3 linked regions of the Sus scrofa genome follow. The main gene of each other region encodes a partner of the protein of the gene in region 2 in a complex. Links are inferred from orthologs where the notes say so. Each region holds a gene or a part of one and is shown on either strand. Other genes may lie near its edges.

Region 1 (3,752 bases), on a different chromosome or scaffold from region 2:
TAATTACCTTCTCAGGAGACATGGACACTATTTTGTTCACTACATGACAGAGGAGCTTCTGTTTAGATGTTTAACAAGTGACAAAAAATTCATAATAACTTAATTTGCATTTCTTGGTAAAAATTAAAATGTCATAGCATATATTTTCAGAATGTATGCATGACCTTACTAAATCTTAGTCTTACTAAGATTCAGGCGAGAACATGAGAAGGAAGGTAATACTAATGCAGTGATCACGAATGATGAACCAGGCACTAGATGACAAATGGTTTCACTCACAAAAATGATAACTCTTGAGTACTCGATATAACTCAGCATAGCGTCTTCCGTGCCTACCTTCCTTAAAAGTCACACCCCCGCCGCCACTGTTCTGAAAAATAGCTCTCCAAAGACCCTTCGCAAGAGCAATGAACCCTCGGAAGATGCGCAGGGAAATGTACAAAGGTCTGCAGGCAAATACTAATTGAAGGGGGTGGGGGTGGGTCTGGAGTGTGTAACAGGTATGAAGGTGGCAGGAGTGGAAGCGACAATCCTGTCAACCTCTGCCATCCCCAGAAGTCAAATCCAAAGTTCCGTCCCTGTCTGAACAAACCTTCCTGGAACAACGGGCAACCTTTCCTTAAATCTAAAGCGACTGAATGAACAACACACTTCAATCCAAACCTCTGTCCCTTTCCAAAATCCCCTCTCAGTTACACAAGCCCTTTCCTGGACTTACCTCTCAGATTCTTACTCTCCCAATTGCAGGGGGCCTCACTTTACAGGTTCTTTGGCTAGATATCACGGGTTAACTTCCGCGCACACTCCTCTAGCATTCCGAAGCCGATCCGCCCCAACCTTGGGGACATCAAGCTTTTGGTTCACGGCTAATTACTTCCGATTACTCAGGGTTTCGTTTCCGGAATACTTTTCAGAAGGAAAACACTTTTGGTGCCATTTAAACTCAAGTGACGCAGTGACGCAGAATATACGATTCAAGACTTCAGTAAAACAAAACTGGGTAGACTCTTATTAAAAAATAAAAAAAAGAATACTTGGACCCTAGCCGCATATAAGCCTGAACTTCCGGGTCGCCTTTCAACCAAACGGAAGTGATGATGCTGGAAAGAGGTAGGTGGTGTTCCGTTGCTCCAAGCTACGGCGTGAAGGGGCGGGTCGGTCGGCTGGGTGGGCGGAGCTCTATTTACTCCCAGCCACTAAGGACAAAGGGGCGGGGTAGTGGCGGCCCGCTCCGAGTCCGGCAGTAGGTGGGGCTCTGTTGCCAGAGTAACCTGGCGTTGGTGTTGGTGTAGGTGTTTTCCAGTCGCAAAGTTACCTATTTCCTGGTGCTGAGATCCCGAGGCGATGGTGAGTGCAAGGCGGTGTCAGAAGAAAGGCATCGCGGTCTTGTTTATGCTTTGTCCCAGGTCCTGGGGCGTCTGGGCGTTGAGAGGCATCCAGATCGCTTCTACCTTCGGCTGGTTATTTCTTTGTCCCTTTCCAGGAACTGTCCGTGCAATTTCCTCGCTTTCCCTACTTCTTGCAGCACCCTGAATTACACTTTGGTCCTGCTGAGCCTGTAGAGTATTGTGACAGGAAGTTTAAGGCTAAGACACGGAGTCTAGTAGTCTGAGGTGAGACCTTATTTCGGTCAAACATTGGAGATGTATGCATTTTTCATCATTGCATTTTTTTCAACCTCTCAGCTTCACTTTAACACGCTTCATTTAAAAGTATGTGGTGATGTTTATTTGACTTTTTCATGACTGATCCGAATCTCTCTGAATCCTGTAGTCTTTGCTCTCTTGAGGGCCGAGTACCGTTCCACACCCTAAGGGCCACCTAATAATAGCTGCATTTTGCACTAGCCCTAAATTATACAGTTGATTACCTTTTAACAGGAATACTCCATAATATCACTTGGAAATCACTTCTGGAAAATTCACTTGCTAGAGCTTCACCTTCAGAAATTCTGCATGAATAGAAACAGGCTCCATATTTGCATTTTTAAAAAAGCCTATAGATGATTTTCATTCGATCACATGTTCGAGAATGCCAGGTATGGCTATGAAATTAAATATGGAGACCCACCCAGAGTTCCCGTTGTGGCTCTATGCATTAAAAACCAGAGTAGTATCCATGAGGATGTGGGTTTGATCCCTGGCCTCGCTCAGTGGGTGAAGGATCTGGCATTGCTGCAAGCTGCCGCTTAGGATTTAGCCAGAACCTGGCATTGCTGTGGTGTAGGCTTCGGATTGGACTCCTAGCGAGGGAACTTATATATGCCACAGGTGTGGCTCTAGAAAGAAAGAACAGCAACAACAAACAGAGATCCACCCACCACCCCTTCTTTCTCTGTTAGGTCTTGTGTTTCTAGTTCAGAGAAACAGGTATTGAAGGATAATGCTTCCATCTTTGCTCTAGATTTTATTCCCTCCCATTCCTTATAGGACTTTCTGCTTTTGGTTATATTTTTTTCTTTCCTGTGCTTTCAGCCTCTTCCTCACCATTTCCTTCTCCCCCCACCCCCCCCCCCGTGTTCAAGCCATACACCTTAAGAAAATGAAATAAAACAAAAGCACACCCCCAGCCTGTGTTCGTTCAGTTTATTGCCTAGTCCTCCCATTTATCAGTAAACTGCTTGAAAGCATAGTGCTTCCATTTGTATCAAATTCAGCTCTTTACTTTCATCCTCAGCACTCAGTTATCTGAATTCCTCTAATGGCTTCATGAAGTTGTTCTTGCTTAAATTTCTTATGGCCAAATCCAGGAGTTTCTTCTCAAAATTTATTTAGCCTCTCTTTGATAGATGAAGCTCATCATCATTCATTCCTTCTTTTTTTTTTTCCCCACTGGCTTTGCCTACTTTTTAAATGCCATTCTCTGGGATTCATTCCTTAATTTCTTAGTCTGTCCATTTTCTTTGGCTGATTTCATCCACACACAAGTGTTCCACTAATGCCTAAGCATTCATTCTTAAATTTCAGTTTCATCTCAGACCTGGTAAGCATTCATTCTTAAATTTCAGTTTCATCTCAGATCTGGTAAGACCTGGACACTTCTAGCTGGTTACCACAAAGGCCCCTCAAACTCAACCAAAACTGAACTTGCTGTCTTTTCACCTGGCTTTTTTTGTTTCACCAAGTTGATGCTACCACTATATTTATAACCTAAACCAGAAACCAGAGTTTTCCTACACTCCTTTCTCTCCTATGTCTTCTCTGTTCAGTTGGTCACCTGATTCTGGTTTAGTTTCAGATTTCCTCAATTCTTTTTTTTTTTTCCTTCGCTTTTTTTAGGCCTTCACCCGAGGCTTATGGAGATTCCTAGGCTAGGGGTGTAATCAGAGCTACGGCTACCAGCCTATGCTTCAGCCACAGTAATGCCAAATCTGAGCAGCCTCTGCAACCTACACCACAGCTCATGGCAACTCTGGATCCTTAACCCACTGAGCGAGGCCAGGGATAGAACCTACAACCCCATGGTTCCTAGTTGGATTCATTTCCACTGTGCCACGACGGGAACTCCGAGATCTCCTCAGCTTTTGCTTGCACTGTTGTAGTAGTGTCTTTAACACTCTGGTCTGGTAATTCTTCAATTCATTATTTTCTCTACCACAAGAAGGAATTTACTGAACCCTAAATCTGTTGATGTTAATTACCGCTTTAGAACTCTAGACTCCTCATTCCCAACAGTATAAAAATTCAGCCTATCTGGAATGGCATACAAAGCCTTCTATGATCTAGGACTTAACCTGTCTTGCTTCTGTCATG
Region 2 (3,652 bases):
ATAGAAGGGTATGTCAGTTTATATATATATGTATGCATACTCAAATATATTTTCTTATAGACCTTTTTATTGGTATAACTTTATAATTAATCAGGTGATTTTTTTTAACATTTTAGAATTTATGAAAAATTCATCATTCATTCTGATCTCAGCAAAGCTGCTAGTTGGAAGAGATTAACTGATGAATTTCTAAATGCATCTCTTCCAAGTATAAAGGAAATAAAGGTATGCTGTATTGTGAGATCTTGGTTGTATTTTACTGTTTCCAATCTGATTATCGTCAGCCTGTTTCTATTCACATTTAACAGTCATTCTATTTTAGTATTATTATCCACTGAAGAGAACCAGATTCTCGTGGAAGTTGACTTGTGTTGCCATCAAATCAGTGTGCCTCAGGCTTGTGATGAAAGAAGTATGTTCTTATTTAATCATCTTAGCCCCAACCTATTATGGACATTGAGATCAGAGACTGGCACAAATAATAGCACTGTCTGGCTGTCTTAAAACTTTTAAATGGCACTTGGCAGTAATAACTATCTATATAGATGTCAGGTGCTGTTCTGAGCACTTCCATATTTAGTCATGGGTCTCTTAGGCTTAATGATATGTTGGAAGGATTCACAGAATTTTTTTCTTTCTTTTTTTTCTCTTTCTTTCTTTCCATTCATTCCCAGTACCTGTGGCATATGGAGATTCCCAGGCTAGGGGTAGAAACAGAGCTATAGCCGCTGGCCTACACCACAGCCAGATCAACGCAGGATCTGAGCTGTGCCTGCTACTTATACCACAGCTCATGGCAATGCCTGATCCTTAACCCACTGAGTGAGGCCAGGGATCAAACCCATGTCCTCATGGATGCTAGTCAGGTTCGTTAACCACTGAGCCATGATGGGAACTCGCCCATCTTCTTTTTCTTCAATACATTTAGTGACTTTGGTGAAAGCATCATATTAGCTGATTGATAGATTAGGTTTTGGCCATTAGTGCTAATTTTTAGTTCAGTGATTACTTCAATTAATGAGTCCTCTAGGTGTCAAGCTCCCTTATAGATTTTAGTGAAATAAAGAAGTGCAGGGGTAGAGGAATAGCATCAACCAGGTCCTCTTCGCAGGACCATGTGCTGCTTTGGGGCATCTCCACACAGCTACAGGGTAGCAGTTCTGGTCCCTGGCAAAGCAGGGAGGTCTTTTACTGTGTGTGGTTCTCTTTCACTGGTTATATTCACCTGTTTTCTGGTGTACAGAGTCCTTCCAAAGTAAACAATTGACATTAGCAATTACTACTACTAAATAATTTATGTATTGAGAATTATTTTCTTCGGGTATTTACATTTTAGACCACCTTTCTCTGGGGAATAAGAGAATTTAAGGCATTTCCAAGTGGAGAGATTATTCACAGAAGGGCAGGTGCATGTGGTCTTATTAGTGATGTATTGGCTTATCATGCCCAGGAAAGTCTACCGAGTATCTGCTGTGTCCCTAACATCACTGGGTGGTAGGAATACAGAATAAACAAGAGATGGTCATCACTGCCCAAGTAGTTATTGAATAGTTATTTAATTGTAATTATAAATACCATATACAGTACTATAGAACATTTGAAAGGGAAGGCTTGCATGAGATTGCCCTTACCATCCTTGAATTTAATTCATCTCATCTTTCCATGCATAGTTTATGACTTTCAGCATATTTGGAGTACTTGTATTTTTTGGCAGTTTTTATAATTTATTTTAAATTATTTATTTATTTATTTCGCTTTTTTAGGGCTGCCCCTGTGGAATATGGAAGTTCCCAGGCTAGGGATTGAATCAGAGATGCAGCTACCAGCCCATACCATAGCAACATTTGGTATCTTTTTATTATTTATTTATTTATTTTGTCTTTTTGCCATTTCTTGGGCTGCTCCCGTGGCATATGGAGATTCCCAGGATAGGGGTCTAATTGGAGCTGTTGCTGTAAGCCTACTCCAGAGCCACAGCAACTGGGGATCCGAGCCGTGTCTGCAATCTACACCACAGCTCACTGCAACGCCGGATCGTTAACCCACTGAGCAAGGGCAGGGACCGAACCCGCAACCTCATGGTTCCTAGTCGGATTCGGATCGTTAACCCACTGAGCAAGGGCAGGGACCGAACCCGCAACCTCATGGTTCCTAGTCGGATTCGTTAACCACTGCACCACAACAGGAACTCCTTAATTTTTAAATTTTTAAATTTTTTTTAGGGCCGCACTTGCGGCATATGGAAGTTCCTAGGCTAGAGGTTGAATTGGATCCCCTACGCCACAGCCACAGCAACATGGGATCCAAGCCACATCTGCAACCTACACTATCGCTCACGACAATGCCGGATCCTGGGGTGAGGCCAGGGATTAAACCCGCATCCTCTTGGATGCTAGTCGTATTCTTAACCCACTGAGCCACAAAGGGAACTCCCCACCCTTTCTTTTGTTGACCTTGACATTATTGAAGAGAGCAGGCTAATTATTTGGTAGCTTGTCCTTCAATTTAGGTTTGTCTAACAATTATTGTATATGATTCAGGTAATACATTATTTGACAGGTTCCTTATCTGTACATGTTTGAACTATAAAAACAAGTTTAGAGATTGAGATTGTGGTTTTTTTTTAGGTATGATTTATGTTTTCTCAAACCAGGGGGGAAAAACTGAGGACCTAACTGTCATGAGGTTATCTTTTCTTGAACAAGTTTAGAAAGCTCTTACCAACCTCTGTGAATCATGTTTTTCATTTCTTGTTTTAAAGACAGATGCCCATTATTCCATACTGTCACTTCTTCTATGTCTGTCTGATTCTCCTTCAAACAGCAATTACGTGGAAACACCAAGAAATAAAGAAGTGGGTACGTTACTAAATAAAAAGTTGTAAAAAGTCTTGAAACTGAAATATTTCTGTTGCCTTGAATGCAGTTGTGATTTTCATTTCATTTACAATATAAATTCTGACTTAGTAAGTTAAACTACTTTCAGTTCTATGAAAGAGAAAATTTCTTTTTTTTTTTTTTTTTGTCTTTTTAAGGCCGAACCCAAGGCATATGGAGGTTCCCAGGCTAGGGCTCGAATTGGAGCTGTAGCTGCCAGCCTATACCACAGCCACAGCAATGCCAGATCCCAGCTGCATCTGTGACCTACACCACAGCTCATGGCAACTCTGAATCCTTAACACACTGAGGAAGGCCAGGGATGGAACTCGAACCTCATGGTTCCTCGTTGGATTCGTTTCCACTGCACCACAACAGGAACTCCTTTTTTTTTTTTTTTTTTTTTTTTTTTTGTCCTTTTTAGGGCAGCATTGTGGCATATCGAGGTTCCCAGGCTAGGATTCGAATCAGAGCTGTAGCTGCTGGCCTTCACCACAGCCACAGCAGCACGAGATCTGAGCTGAGCCTATGACCCACACCATAGCTTACGGCAATGCAGGATCCTTAACCAACTAAGTGAAGCCGGGGATTGAATCTACAACCTCATGGTTTCTAGTCGGATTCGATTCCGATGAGCTACGATGGGAACTCCAAGAAAAATTATTTTTGAGGATGAAAAAATGTTAACTGTGTTATAGAATGTCAGTTTATGGAGTGTTTCAGTATTTTTGATCTCTTATTTCCCAAGTGTATTTTATTTTGTGCATTGTTAGATT
Region 3 (3,652 bases), on a different chromosome or scaffold from region 2:
TAACGAATCTGATTAGGAACCATGAGGTTGCGGGTTCGATCCCTGGCCTTGCTCAGTGGGTTAAGGATGTGGTGTTGCCGTGAGCTGTGGTGTAAGTCGAAGACATGGCTCAGATCCCACGTTGCTGTGGCTGTGGTGTAGGCCAGTGGCTACAGCTCCAATTCGACCCCTAGCCTGCAAACATCCATGTGCCACGGGAGCAGCCCAAGAAATGGCAAAAAAGACAAAAATAAATAAATAAATAAAAATAAAATAAAATAAAAATCCAAAAGTTTTAAATTACACAAAACCAAAAACTCAAATGATTGGAAATTACTGGAGAGTAACTTCATCTGAGATGGGTAAGCTATGTGTTTTCTAAGTCTGTTCCTCAAAGAAAAGAAAAAAGGGTAGAGAGAAGCCACTTTGTCCTTAGAAAGTTTTAAAAGGGACTGACCTGAAGTTTCAGTATTCACGTGGCGTTAGTGCTATATAAACATGGAATGTAAACTGGTACAGCCACTATGGAGAACAGTTTGGAGATACCTTAGAAATCTATACATAGAACTTCCATATGACCCTAAATCCCACTCTTGGGCAACTATCCGGACAAAACTCTACTTAAAAGAGACACATGCACCCGCATGTTCATTGCAGCACTATTCACAATAGCCAGGACATGGAAACAATCCAAATGTCCATCGACAGAGGATTGGATCGGAAGATGTGGTATATATACACAATGGAATACTACTCAGCCATCAAAAAGAATGACATCATGCCATTTGCAGCAACATGGATGGAACTAGAGAATCTCATACTGAGTGAAATGAGCCAGAAAGACAAAGACAAATACCATATGATATCACTTATAACTGGAATCTAATATCCAGCACAAATGAACATCTCCTCAGAAAAGAAAATCATGGACTTGGAGAAAAGACTTATGGCTGCCTGATGGGAGGGGGAGGGAGTGGGAGGGATCGGGAGCTTGGGCTTATCAGACACAACTTAGAATAGATTTACAAGGAGATCCTGCTGAGTAGCATTGAGAATTTTGTCTAGATACTCATGTTGCAACAGAACAAAGGGTGGGGAAAAAAAATGTAATTGTAATTTATACATGTAAGGGTAACTTGATCCCCTTGCTGTACAGTGGGAAAATAAAATAAAAAAATAAATAAATAAACATGGAAATACAATCACCTGAGATTTTAAATCAGAGGGTGTGAAGCATGTGAGGGAACACGACACTTTTCCTATTCCCAATCTCGGCAATTAAAAGGTTGTAAATTTGGGAGTTCTCGTGGCTCTGCGGAAACGAACCAGACTAGTATCCATGAGGACACAGGCTCGATCCCTGGTGTCAGTCAGCGGGTTAAGGATCTGGCGTTGATGTGAGCTGTGGTGTAGATAGCAGATGTGGCTTGGATCTAGTGTTGCTGTGGCTGTGGCCCCCAGCTGCAGTGCTGATTTGACCCCAGCCTGGGAACTTCCATATGCCATGGATGTGGCCCTAAAAAGAAAACAAAGTTGTGAATTTGAATTCAAAAATAGGTGGCCCTCTGGGTCCGTATTGCCTGTGCAGCTCTATCGGCCTAAGCAGTGTGCTGGCCTCTGGACTCTTCCCTTTTCTTGAAGGATGAACACACAGGCAGGGAGCTCCATCAGTCAGCTTTCTGCCTACTGAATCCCAGAAGTCTCAGAGCCTTCCTGCACTTCGTCCTGCACTGTTCCCTTTCAGCCCAAGCTGGCATGGTTTTGTGCCCAGATAGCCTGACTGTATCTGAGTCACACAACCTTATTATCTCTTCACCTAAAGGTTGTCCAGCCACACTCCCAGCCTTCTTTCCAGAACATGCTGTCTGGGTAGGCTGAGACTTTCCCAATGCAAGAGCCAGCTCCTCTTTGCTTACCAGTTTTTCCTCAATTTCTCATTCCTCTTACATTTTACTATAAGCAGCAAGGAGAAATCAGGCTGCACTTTCCACACTTTGTTAGGAAATTTCCTTAGCTGGATATTCAAGTCACTGCTTAAAAGGTTTGTTTTGCTTTTTAGGGCCGCATGTGTGGCATATGGAAGTTCCCAGGCCAGGGGCTGAAAAAGAGCTACAGATGCTGGCCTATACCACAGCCATGGCAACGCCAGATATGAGCCACATCTACTACCTACACCACAGCTCATAGCAATGCTAGCTCCCTTAACCCAGGGACACCTGGGATCAAACCCATGTTCTCATGGGTACTAGTCGGGTTCGTTACTGCTGAGCCACAATGGGAAGTCCACAAGTTTTGTTTTCCTTCCAACAGAATATAACTCAGCCAAGTGTTCTTTATAGCAAGGATGGCCTCTCTTCCAGTGTCCCCAACTGATGAACTCATTTCTGAGACTTCATCAGCAGCACCTTTCACATTCATATTTTTAGCAAGATTCTGTTCATGATGATATATGTATTCTGAGATGACTGAAGCTCTTCTCTCTTCTTTCTGAGCCCTCAGGAGAATCACCTTTAACACTTAGAGTTTTACGACAGCCTTAAAATCTAGGCTTTTTCTATCAAGCCTCTTAAAACTTTCCAATTTCTATCCATTACCCAATTCCAAAGCCATGTCCACATTTCTTAGTTATTTCTTACAGCAGTACTCTACTTTCCAGTAGTCAATCTGTATTAGATTTCTAGGGCTGCCCTAACCAAGTACCAGAAGCTGGGTAGCTTAAAACAATAGAAATTTATGCTCTCATAGTTCTGGAGGCAGAAGTCCAAAGCCAAGGTGTCAGCAGGACCATTCTCTCTCTGAAGGCTCTAGGGCAGCATCCTTCCTTGCCTCTTAGCTTCTGCTGGGCCTTCTTTGGCTTGTAGACACCATCACTCCAATCTCAGCCTGGGTCATCCCATGCATTCTCTCCTGTGTCTTCATATGTATCCATGTCCACATGTGTATCCACGTCCACATGTCCCTTGTCTTCTAAGGACACTGGTCATGAAACCATTACGATCTCATCCTAATGTGATTATACCTATAGATACACTATTTCCAAATAAGGATATATTCACAGGCACTAGACCCATGCATATCTTTTTGGGGGCAGATACAATTTTACCCACAGTATGAGGAAAATTCTAAACACAATTGGAGACTTATCTGGACCAGAAAAGATAACATGGTCCAGAGAGTAGCAAATTTTGTGATTTGAACACATGCCACCCAGCTCCTGGTCTTCAGAATTTCTCCTGAGGACGACAGATGCTAGTTTAATCACGTTCAGGGCCTTGCACTTAACTTCATCATTAATCATTTTCTAAACGAAAGCATCTTTATTTAGAGTGAGCTAACACACGAATCTCTCTACCTTTAATGCTTCAGTGGCCTTGCGAAGTTCCTTAATAACTGAAGATAAAGCTTCTGGGTTAATTCCTTGTTCGCAGAGCCGGACACATATAGACAGAGTTTCCATATCTAATCCAGTATTCAAAATTCTTGAAATCTCAAGCAGAACTGAAAAAGGACAGAAGGAATTTTTAAAAAAATCTTGTAACATTTAAAAACATGCACATACTTCCATTTTTAGTTCATATAATACTGCATATGAAAACTGGCATGTAATACTGTCTTCCCCTTACTTACTTCTAGAAACTTAAAAATAAATTTACAACCTCCTTCCACATAACTG

What was found.
Region 1: TUBGCP5 (region 2) and NME7 share a complex: the UniProt entries of both Homo sapiens proteins name them as parts of the gamma-tubulin ring complex. The link is inferred for Sus scrofa from reciprocal best matches to the Homo sapiens genes TUBGCP5 and NME7.
Region 3: the proteins of TUBGCP5 (region 2) and MZT1 are in contact, whole or in part, in a crystal structure (PDB 6L81), measured with the Homo sapiens proteins. The link is inferred for Sus scrofa from reciprocal best matches to the Homo sapiens genes TUBGCP5 and MZT1. Residues at the interface, in NP_443135.3 of Homo sapiens: Gln14, Gln15, Asp18, Val19, Glu21, Leu22, Val23, Val26, Ala27, Gly28, Asn36, Ala40, Phe43, Ala44, Asn47, Phe48, Arg52, Phe53, Leu54, Phe72, Lys80, Ser83, Trp84, Leu87, Thr88, Glu90, Phe91, Ala106, Ser109, Ile110; in NP_001065243.1 of Homo sapiens: Glu23, Val27, Leu28, Glu30, Ile31, Ser32, Ile34, Leu35, Asn36, Thr37, Leu39, Leu44, Ile46, Cys47, Val48, Arg49, Leu50, Cys51, Glu52, Gln53, Ile55, Asn56, Pro57, Glu58, Ala59, Leu60, Ser61, Ser62, Val63, Ile64.

What each region holds. Positions count from the first base shown.
Region 1 is NC_010446.5:81,638,695-81,642,446, forward strand, and holds the start of NME7 (nucleoside diphosphate kinase 7), read left to right. Parts: upstream 1-1,212; 5' UTR 1,213-1,344; coding exon 1,345-1,347; intron 1,348-1,483; exon of another isoform or gene 1,484-1,613; intron 1,614-3,752. UniProt on the Homo sapiens protein: Possesses an intrinsic kinase activity. Displays 3'-5' exonuclease activity with a preference for single-stranded DNA. Does not seem to have nucleoside diphosphate kinase activity.
Region 2 is NC_010457.5:31,998,594-32,002,245, forward strand, and holds part of TUBGCP5 (gamma-tubulin complex component 5), read left to right. Parts: coding exon 1-8; intron 9-116; coding exon 117-225; intron 226-2,761; coding exon 2,762-2,858; intron 2,859-3,652. UniProt on the Homo sapiens protein: Component of the gamma-tubulin ring complex (gTuRC) which mediates microtubule nucleation.
Region 3 is NC_010453.5:45,008,987-45,012,638, forward strand, and holds part of MZT1 (mitotic-spindle organizing protein 1), read right to left. Parts: intron 3,478-3,652; coding exon 3,332-3,477; intron 1-3,331. UniProt on the Homo sapiens protein: Required for the recruitment and the assembly of the gamma-tubulin ring complex (gTuRC) at the centrosome.